Daphnia pulex: one gene and its partners. The main gene of each other region encodes a partner of the protein of the gene in region 3 in a complex. Links are inferred from orthologs where the notes say so. Each region holds a gene or a part of one and is shown on either strand. Other genes may lie near its edges.

Region 1 (3,065 bases), on a different chromosome or scaffold from region 3:
AGAACAATTCAGCCGACCCCTTCTCTGTTTCCTCCAATTAATGAAACGACTCCAAGAATATGGACTGTAAATCCAGTTGTCGTTTCGCAAACAGAATCAAGTATGGTCTCTAATAAGAAACGTAATAAAGCAATCAAGACGTTAGTGCTTACAATCGGTTCCTACATTGTACTGTGGTCGCCCTATTGGGTATTGAACGTGATCCCCATTGTTCATCACGAAGATTTTCTGTGTGACGCAGTTCCTGGGTACGTTACAAACAATGGCTCTATAACGGTGACGTGGCTTATGTATGCATCAATCAGCATTAATCCACTGTTATACGGTCTCTTGAATCGTGCCATCCGAATAGAAATCAAAGGCAAAATGCAAATGACAAAGCATTTTTTGTTTTGTAAGAATACGCAAACAGAATCAGCAAATCGAGAAGAGCATGGAGCTAATGCGGCAGAAAATTTCTGGTAAATTTTAATTTAATCCCTATAATTTATTAGTTATGTATTTACATTCACCCATTACACTTTGAAAAACTGTCTAGGGAGTTCTTGGAACGGACTAACAGTCCTCTTCCTGCTTGAAGTTAAACGTAGATCAGCTGAAGAGACGCGCCGAGAAATAAACGCATAGGCTACATGGATGTAGGTTTTATTTTAATCCTTTAAATTTCAATAATTTAGCGGTACCTTGATGAACAACACATTGCTGATTAATACTTGTGCACACGTATTTACAGACAACAATTTTTCTGGCTTCTACGACTTCTACTAGAATTTCTACATCATCACCAACTCGACAGGGATTTGGAAAAGTCATTGATTGTTCATAAACAACATAACCAGGCCCAGGTAACTGGGTGCCAAGAACAGCACTGACAAAGCCATTAAGCAAAACCCCATGAACTATAGCTTCCCCACCAAAATGAACTGAATTTAAGTCACCTGTCAACTTGGAAAAACTTTCCACATCTGCATAAGTTACTTTTTTAAGTTCTACTACTGTGGAGCCTTTCTGAATGAATGATTGAAGAAATCTTTTGTTTATCCCTTCAGCAAGATTCATCTTCATGTTGGTGCTCTTCTGGAGTATACACTTTATTCTCTTGATGAACATTTCCTTTCAAGTTAGCCTGAACTGATGCCAGATGACTCTTCTAAGAAAATGGTAGCCAAGTTCTTTATGTTTTGATTTTCACTATGTTTTAACAGTTGAATCTGGGCAATCAAGTCGGAAGTGGCAACATCTGTTGATAAACATAGATGAGAAATTAAAATCATAAAATGGTGTTACTTTTATTAGATCTTACTACCTGATGGAATTGCTGATGAAAGTAGAAAAATCAAAGTAGTAAGTCCGTGTTTCACTAAATCAGGGTTTTCAGACTTTACAAATTCTTTAATATGATTGAGTCCATTGTGTTTGAATATTATATCTTGGTTCAGGGGATCATTGGACAAATTACAAATACCCTTCAAACAGTATTCAACAAAGAATGGATTTCTGCTTTGCAGTCCGTTTAAGAACAATTCAATTATTTTGAGTTCTCTGATATAATCATAGTTCAAGGGATCATACGCAAAATTGGCCAAATTAGCTAAAACTTGTTCTTGGCTTTCTAAAATAATTGAAACAAATTATTTAGTAGTAATTTTTTAAAATTTGTTTTTAAAGATGAAACATACCAAGAGAATTCGATTGATAGAATTCATTAACCAACTCTTGAAGGAATTCGAAGCGATCTACTCCCTTTTTACCCGATTTTCGATAAAGTTGTTTACGAGTAGTAAACATTATCCCTGAGGGTAGTACTTGTACTACCAGAAGGCATTAAAGTAAATGCGGGTGTCTGGGTGTGTAGGAGGGGGAGGGATGTGGGGGGAGTGTACGGTGTTCTGGGCCAGGCTTCCAGAACCTTTAATTCAGAATCAGAATAAATTTATAGAAATCTAAACTACTGCATCGATTTTCTTCAAACTTTTTGTGTAAACTTACAGTAATTTATCTCAGCGGATAGGTAAGTTTCGATTCATTTGGTAATACTAAATTTTATTTCATTTTATGCGGATTTAGTCATTAGCTTTTTGTGACTTAGGACAACCACAAAAACCATTAGGTTGTCTGTTGACAGTCTGTTGATGTCTTGTTCAGTAAAAATAAATTTCGTCAACAGTTTTGTTATTGTTACAGGATATTGTTCCTCTTTTAGAGAAGTTCAGTGGAACAAAGGTATATTGGTGTGTGCTATTCCATTTAAGAAATGTACGTAAATTCATCAATTATGCTAGGCAATATTTTGGGATGAACAACTCACTGGCCCCATTGGTTTGGTGGCAGAATACAGTTTTCTTAAGGAACTAGATGTTGTAAAAATGTTCCAGTTAAAACCTGGGTGCTTGCCTTCCATATCTGTTAAAAATATACTGTTCATCACAAGACCTGAAGTTGAGCTGATGGATTGTATTGCCGATAACTTGCACAGGTATGAATAATCTACATATTTTAACTTTAAATAGTCAACAATAAGTTAATTTACATTTCAGCGAAGAAAGCCAAGGACATTCTGCTAGTAAGGAATATCAGTTAATTTTTATCTCCCGATGAAGTGCAGTATGTGAACAGCGGCTCAAGGTTGGTTAAAGTTACTTAAATCAGCGAAGAAGAAATTGTTGACAAAATTATTACTTCATTTAGGACAAAGGAGTGTATGGAACTCTTACTTCTATTGATGAACTGCCTGTTGATTTTTTCCCACTAGATAGTGATGTCATTTCAATGGAACTCGATAATGTTTTCAAGGTATTTATTTATGAGCCAAACTTTGAAAGGGATTGCTTGTCATCAATTTCTTCAAATTTATTCTCAGGATTTATATGTTGACAATGAAATCAGCTCCTTACACCAAATTGCTCATGGGTTAATGTCCCTCCAAAGTTTATATGGCATTTTCCCCAACGTTGTGGGTAAGGGGCGCCATGCCCGTAACGTATTCGAATTGATGACTCGAATGCGAGTGATATTGGGGTAGACTGTGATCCCCCCATATCTCCGTTGTTCGACACTCTTATGAT
Region 2 (3,836 bases), on a different chromosome or scaffold from region 3:
TTTAGCGAAGAAGTGGTCAAACTCTTTGAGGGTAAAAACGACCGCACCAAGTATTTAGTCTTACTTTCCACTTCAGAAGACGTTGAGATGTCCAAAGCTGCTGCAGGAGCCTTGGCTATTCTGACGTCAGTCAGTAAACGGGCTTCACGGAAAGTTTTCGAGGTTTGCCTCCATTCTTTTTAACTTTTTCCCTGGAATTGATTTTAACTTTTTTTTTCTCTTGTTAAATTTGTCAATAGGCGACAGAGTGGAAAGAAATCCTTTGCTTCCTACTGAGCAATACGGACAAAGACGTGCAATATCGAGGAGCTGTTATCGTCAAAAACATCGCCAGTCATTCGAAAGAGTTGGCCGAAAAGTTGTTGCAACCTGAGGTTATTATGGTCCTGGAAGTTCTCACCAAATTCGGTAAAGAGGATTAAGTTAAAACTTTTGACATGGTGCCTTGAACTAATCTTTTTTGTAACCCATTTGAATCCGCTCTGCACACAGAAACACCTGAAATGGCCAAAATTTGCGACTGCGCCAAATCAACCCTGGAAATCGCCGAGCAATGGAAACTGATCGAGAAGGAGGACGACTCTGAAGATGAGTCTTGATAAATTTTAATGAAATGATTTAAACAAAAATTAAATTGTGTGCCTATGCAAATTCACTCGTTAAAGTTAAATACACTTTATACGTCAATTGAAAGCATTATTTAAAAAAGAAGGAATTACAAAATAATGTATTCTTACACGTGAATGGTAGGGGGAAAAAATAAAGATGATCTTATCCTCAATCGCTGTCATCATCTGAATCCGTATCGTTGGCCACGACTCCTTCGTCTGCGTAGTGAATGTGCTCAATCTCCGTAACGGGCTCCTCCACATCTGCTGTTGCTCCCGTAGGTTTACCAGTAGTGCTGCCAGACGGCTGCATAATCAATTCCAAGTTGTTGAGCTCCTCGTCGCTGTCTGCTTCCTTGTAAGTTTTGCCTTCTTCCTCCAACTTGAGCCGCTCGATGAGGCTCTTTGCCGGGTTAAAGACACCAAAAGTTTGTTTGCCGCAAACAAAACACCGCTGCGATTTGCGGTAATGTTTCAAGGCGCAGGCCTCGCAGAAATAATGCTTACACCTGCCGTGTCAAAATTTGCGTTAAATTCTCCTTCTTATAAATGAATAGGAGAGAGTCTTTATTACTTGGAGACAACGGGATGTTGGAACGACTCGCGACAGATGAAACACTTGAAGGGCAAATCTTCGTCGTCCGAGTGTATTTCATACTTTGAGTCGTCTTCGGCCGGCTCACCTTTTCCCCTTTCTTCTCGCTCCAACTGCCATCCGAATTTATAATCGGAACGGTCGTGCAAGAACTTACAACTGTCTAATAAAACACAGCAAAGCTTTATAAAAGTTCAACTGAATGATGATAATAACCCCAAAAACTTTTGGTTAGATTTTGAATACCTCCGAAACCGCAGAAACCCGTTTCCTTGTAATCTTTACAAAGATCTGGTTGGTAATCCCATCTCACTGTTGACCTGATGTTGGCTGGGGCTCGCATGGGGCCTTTTCTCACATTGGCAGATGCAGCATTTCCTTGGGCTGTATCTCTTTTCTCGTAGTACTGGGCATAGTTAGCAAGGCCACGATATTTCTTGTCATCTGCTTTGCCTTTCAGCTCCTGCTGGACTGTCAAAGAAACAAAACATTATTTTGGTTCATTTTAAATAAAAAAGTTGACCTACTTTGTAAAGATTTCTCAAAAATTGTCCTGGCATCTTGATCGACGGCAGTGTCGATCTGAACTGTGGAAGTGGCAAGATCGTCTTTCTTGTTCTCAGCACTTCTGTCAGACTGGAAGACGACTGTGACCTTTTCCTTGACTTCCTCATCAGAGCTGTTTTGGATTTCTTGACGGGACTTTTTCGTGGATTTGAACTGTCAACCCCAAAAGAAAAAAACACGATGAGAAACACAAATTCTTTTTGCAGAGACTTTCAATAACTCACAGTTTTAGCCGAAAGAAGTCCAGCCGATTCCTTTTTCCCCACTCGAGCAACAACAGTTTCATCTTCGCTGCTGCTTTTCTTGTCATCATCAGCTTTTCTCCTCATGGCGGCTCCTCCTCCTCTTCGTTTCTTGAATGTAAACGTGCAAACTTTATTGTCGTCGGCCATTTTTGTTTGTTTGTGGATTTTCTTGTTGGATCAAGCTTTCCTTTTTTGTATATAAAAATGTATTTTGACTTGTCAACAAACGAGAACAATAAAATAAAAATCCTTCCGTCTTCTCGTCGTCGGCTTTTCAAAAGGATTACCGGTGCACTGTTGTCTGATTCCTCTAATTGGGTTCTTGATGACTGATTGAATACGCAGCAAGGGATCTGCTGCAGATTTACATATATATGCACAGCAACAGAGACTAGTACATAGAGAACTATGCACACACACACACACAAAAGCTTTTATTATTGTGATCCAGATTTGTCATCTACGATGTCGGTATTAATGATCCGACCCCGAAAACCCGCTTGAGACTTTGAATATATCTTAACGTCATCCGTTTCTACTACTACTACTACGGGTTTTGCTATTTTGCATTTGTTTTGGAAAAATAAAATCGACATATCTTATTGCTTTACATCATTATTATTAGGCATCGTCGTCATTTCTTATGGTCTTCTTCTAATCATTTCCATATGCCTTGGTGATTTATTTTCCTTGTGCAAATGAAATGGATGGGGGGAAGAATCACGTTACTTAAAAATCTCTGGCGACTCGATTACACACAGGCAGTACAAAAAGGAGCATCCTTTCATTAATTAGTAGGTTCCCCTCTAATAATCTGGTGGCGTGTATATATGTATAGATGTGCTCGGCGCATCACAGAGTCTGAGGACCTTCTTCTTTCTTCTCCTCGAAATAATAATACGCACTATATACGCTTCTGCTGGCGATCAATTAGAAAAGACTGCCGAAGCTTTTAAGAACCTTTTCGCCACATATGACTGAATAATAATTCTATTTTCTTAATTCCCCTACCCAATTTTTATTAATTTTTTTTTTCTGGGTGGGGCGGCGGCCACTGAACTGTTATCTCCTCTTCGTTCGTCTACTTTTTTCTTTTTGCTGGTTTTTGGGGGCTTGTTCTCCGCGGGCCTCTTTCGTCTTTGCCCGATGTCGCGCTTATTATTTCTATATCATCAGCAGACTGCTAGCTGCTGGGGGCCGTTCGCTTGATGATTCCCTTACAGCGCCTTAATTAGCCCAGCACTTTTCATCAAGTTGAAATAATAAGGAACGCGCAGGCCAGAAAACCCGGCCGCAAAAGTGCACGAAGCGCTTCACCGTCCGATGAAAAGCTACTTGATCTCCATCCTCCGACTCCATTTATACACCTATACTGCACTACAATATCTATACCTATTCATTTAAAACAAAAAATATTTTTATTTCGCCGTACCGTATAAGTAATTTTTCGGTCAAACTTGTCGCTGACTGAAAAGCCCATCTAGCCAAACTTTGACTTCCTCCTCCAGCAGGATTGGCACATTGACTTATTGCAGCACAGTTTTGCAGATATACCGTTTCGTTCTATGCAAAGAGGGGAGGAGGCTATAAATAGGGACTCAATGATAGATACATGTTATGCATAAAGCGAGGGCCTATTTATACAGAAGCTGAATGATCCAGACAAGATATATAATATCCACATGCTACACTACTATACACGTATAAAAGGGGCTTTTGAGAGAAGGGCCAGCACGGCAGCAGGATCAATCCTTTACACAGCACACACAAGTTACGCGCGCGTTCTAATGGGGCTGCTGCCCTTTTATGAAGACTTTTCGC
Region 3 (3,116 bases):
TGTAAGTCGTTCAATAGACAAATATTTATAATTAGAGCTGCAGCTCACCATGATATCAACAAATTTCAACTTATAGTCAAAATTTGGAAAAACGTTATCACCTGAACCATATTTTGAACCAAGGTTTGAAGCTATGAAATTACACTTTATTTAAAGGTACTTTTGATTCCCAATTTTGAACTTTGAATTTAATTCTTGGGACTTCTTAATTAAGGATTTCCGCTTTGCATTATCGAGTTGATTCAGTTTTAAATCTTCATCACGATCAAAAGGTTTTCTTTCTTTAGGACCGGACGAGTTGTCTTTCTATAGAAACAAAAATCTTACTTCAAATTACCCCAACTTTAACAGCAAAAATAAAAATGTAGGATTACCTTGCTTTTCATTTCCTTTTGATGTGTCTTCAACAAACTCTCTGACCTCTTCTTGGATTTATCATGCATGGCCACAATTTTCTCAAGCTTCTTATTCCTTTTTTGTTCCAAGTATTGTTTCCTCATTTCAGCTTCAAAATCCTCATCTTTTTCTTTGGATGTACTAGGCTGCTAAAATTATATTAATTAAATTATAGAAATTAGCAATGACCAGCTAAGAAAATTTCATTATATGTGTATCTATTGTACTATCTGAACCTTGGAAGTTGGTGTTGAAGTCCATTGATCTCTCCCTACAACCTCAGGTTTGTCAGAACGATTAAAGACACGAGGTCCCAGGCCAAAGTTTTTCCTTTTCAGTTCTGGAAGCTCAATCATCCAATCTTCTCTTTTTGGTTGCTTGTTGGCTTCATCATCATCCACACCAAGCAACTTCCTCTTCATCTTAAGAGCCCGCTGTTCAATGTCAACTGATGAACTATGTTCAGCATCCATACAATCAGCTGGCAGTGGTCCAATAACTTCATCATCTGATGAAGAGTCAACTTCATGATTAACAGAGCATCCTCTGTCATTGGAGATATTTGATTGCACTAACTTGCTGGACACTTTCTGTGATTTTAAATGAGCGGGAAGTGCTGGTCCGTAGAGATCACCTTCATCAGAATCTGAATCATCATTTTCATACGCTGTTTGAAGATGAGGAGGTAATGTTGGTCCGATTCGAGACATTTTGAGAGGGAAAAATTAAAACCACGCGGGAAATTGAGAATGCGTTACCGACAAAGAATTATTTTTAAAAAATCGAAAATAGGTGAAACCGAAACCCAATGTTTAGCTTACTGGAAATGCTGTTATAGTATGCAGGCCTGTCTCATGTGTTTTCTGTTTTGGAGTACGTTTTATTGTCACTCATGTCATGCCACTTGTGTTCTATGCGGTTCTATGATACGCTTCGATAATGCTTCTGGATTTATGAATTTATTTTGATAAATAAATTTAAAATAATAAAAAAAAATTATTATTAGTTAATTTTTGATTAAAATATGCAAAAATAAACCTTGTCTAATAACAAAATTCAAAATATTTGCGTAGATGGCGCTACGTTACAAGTACAAAAATCATAGTCATCGACCGTTATGAAATATGAAATGTCACAGGGCCTTTTTAGTATAAGTTATGCTTCCAACAAGCAGTTTTGGTTTTTGACTAGCGTACCTCGTGCGTTTCACTAAACTAAGGATTAAAACATTCAATAAGTCGTATATGGTGATTTACTTTATTACAGCCATCAAACAACAAGTTTATCAAAAATGAAATTAGTGAGGTAAGTTTCGGAATATGTTCATTGTCAAGTAAATTCGTACAGAAAGTAGCCACAAAAATCGGTTTGGTCTGGGTATTAAGCCGGTTGTTGGATGCGTCTGGGAAACTATGCCGTTTCTATATTTCACAACTTAAATAGTTCACTGCTTTCAATTGAAATAAATACCATTATTTTGTATAATCCTTAGGTTTTTGATGAAACTGAGCCACGAAACAGTCATTATTGAATTAAAAAATGGTACTCAGGTTCATGGAACAATAACAGGTAATTCAATTTTGTTGTCTTTATTCGATTTTTTATTTTACTGCAATCCTTAAATACTTTCTTCGAAAACTTAGTGAAATTGCAAACACATAAGTGACATTTTAGAAGAAAAGTTTTCCGTTTTGTATATTACTAAATTCATTCATTTGATTATGTTTTATAGGAGTTGATGTTGCTATGAACACTCATTTAAAAGCTGTGAAAATGACAGTTAAAAACAGAGACCCTGTTCAGCTTGAAACTTTGAGTATTAGAGGAAACAACATCCGGTACTACATTTTACCTGATTCACTTCCTCTTGAAACCTTACTATTGGATGATTCTCCGAAAGCCAAGGCCAAGAAGAAGGATGCTAGCGGTAGAGGTAAACTTTTTTCCCCTTATCACTGTGTTCCTCTTTTCATTTTCTTTTCTTTTTTTAGCTCGTGGAAGAGGCCGTGGACGCGGAGCTGTCAGAGGAGGACGTGGACGAGGACGTGGACGTGGTGCTACTGGTCCTCGACGCTGAAATTTGTAATTTCCAACGATTTTCCATTTTTTTTTTCGTTCTTTTCAGCAAATGTGGAATCAGTTTTCATTTGCATTACAAATTGTCATTGTCTTATATGTTTTTTGGTCAGTTGAAAAGTCCTTAAAACAAACACTTTTTTCCCCACAGTTGAGTCTGTATGAGAATTATTTATCAATTCCAATTGACTCCCATGTAAGCATAGATAATTTGTAGAGAACCGTCAATTCCTTTTCTTGATTTATAAGCGGACATCGCATAACGTTTCCTTGCTTATTTCAAGAATATTGACTATTCTTGCCATTTTGTCAGAGGAGTCGGGGAAAAAACAAGTGTAAAGAGCGGTGTAATAAGTAATGAAAGTTTGATGGAAATGAAAGTTAAATTACTTTTCTATTAAATTTAGACTAAAACTATTCAATTTTTTGTGACTAAACCATTAAACTTTAATTTAAATTAAGAATGTCGCAAATTTAAGGAAAACTTGACATGTTTAAGAACAGTCGTGGCTACAAGTTTTATTTGCTTTTGTAACTTCAGTTTAAGAGGTATTTGCGTTTAAGAGGCTTTCGGCGATATCTGCTCCTAATTTTCTATTATTCATACATAGAATGAAATGCAAAATTTGCATTTTCCTCGTTTT

The links.
Region 1: small nuclear ribonucleoprotein Sm D1-like (region 3) and armadillo repeat-containing protein 7-like share a complex: the UniProt entries of both Homo sapiens proteins name them as parts of the minor spliceosome. The link is inferred for Daphnia pulex from reciprocal best matches to the Homo sapiens genes SNRPD1 and ARMC7.
Region 2: small nuclear ribonucleoprotein Sm D1-like (region 3) and E3 ubiquitin-protein ligase RNF113A-like share a complex: the UniProt entries of both Homo sapiens proteins name them as parts of the minor spliceosome. The link is inferred for Daphnia pulex from reciprocal best matches to the Homo sapiens genes SNRPD1 and RNF113A.

Annotation. Positions count from the first base shown.
Region 1 is NC_060018.1:4,531,652-4,534,716, reverse strand, and holds armadillo repeat-containing protein 7-like, read right to left. Parts: upstream 1,887-3,065; 5' UTR 1,789-1,886; coding exon 1,680-1,788; intron 1,613-1,679; coding exon 1,307-1,612; intron 1,241-1,306; coding exon 1,122-1,240; 3' UTR 630-1,121; downstream 1-629. Other genes in the region: probable G-protein coupled receptor, read left to right, coding at 1-461, 539-578. UniProt on the Homo sapiens protein: As a component of the minor spliceosome, involved in the splicing of U12-type introns in pre-mRNAs.
Region 2 is NC_060022.1:4,929,322-4,933,157, forward strand, and holds E3 ubiquitin-protein ligase RNF113A-like, read right to left. Parts: upstream 2,387-3,836; 5' UTR 2,163-2,386; coding exon 1,995-2,162; intron 1,924-1,994; coding exon 1,731-1,923; intron 1,675-1,730; coding exon 1,450-1,674; intron 1,367-1,449; coding exon 1,183-1,366; intron 1,118-1,182; coding exon 778-1,117; 3' UTR 630-777; downstream 1-629. Other genes in the region: protein unc-45 homolog B-like, read left to right, coding at 1-162, 240-408, 493-599. UniProt on the Homo sapiens protein: Required for pre-mRNA splicing as component of the spliceosome. As a component of the minor spliceosome, involved in the splicing of U12-type introns in pre-mRNAs. E3 ubiquitin-protein ligase that catalyzes the transfer of ubiquitin onto target proteins.
Region 3 is NC_060020.1:8,496,565-8,499,680, reverse strand, and holds small nuclear ribonucleoprotein Sm D1-like, read left to right. Parts: upstream 1-1,538; 5' UTR 1,539-1,687; coding exon 1,688-1,701; intron 1,702-1,888; coding exon 1,889-1,965; intron 1,966-2,128; coding exon 2,129-2,329; intron 2,330-2,387; coding exon 2,388-2,473; 3' UTR 2,474-2,569; downstream 2,570-3,116. Other genes in the region: GPALPP motifs-containing protein 1-like, read right to left, coding at 151-306, 375-545, 633-1,106. UniProt on the Homo sapiens protein: Plays a role in pre-mRNA splicing as a core component of the spliceosomal U1, U2, U4 and U5 small nuclear ribonucleoproteins (snRNPs), the building blocks of the spliceosome.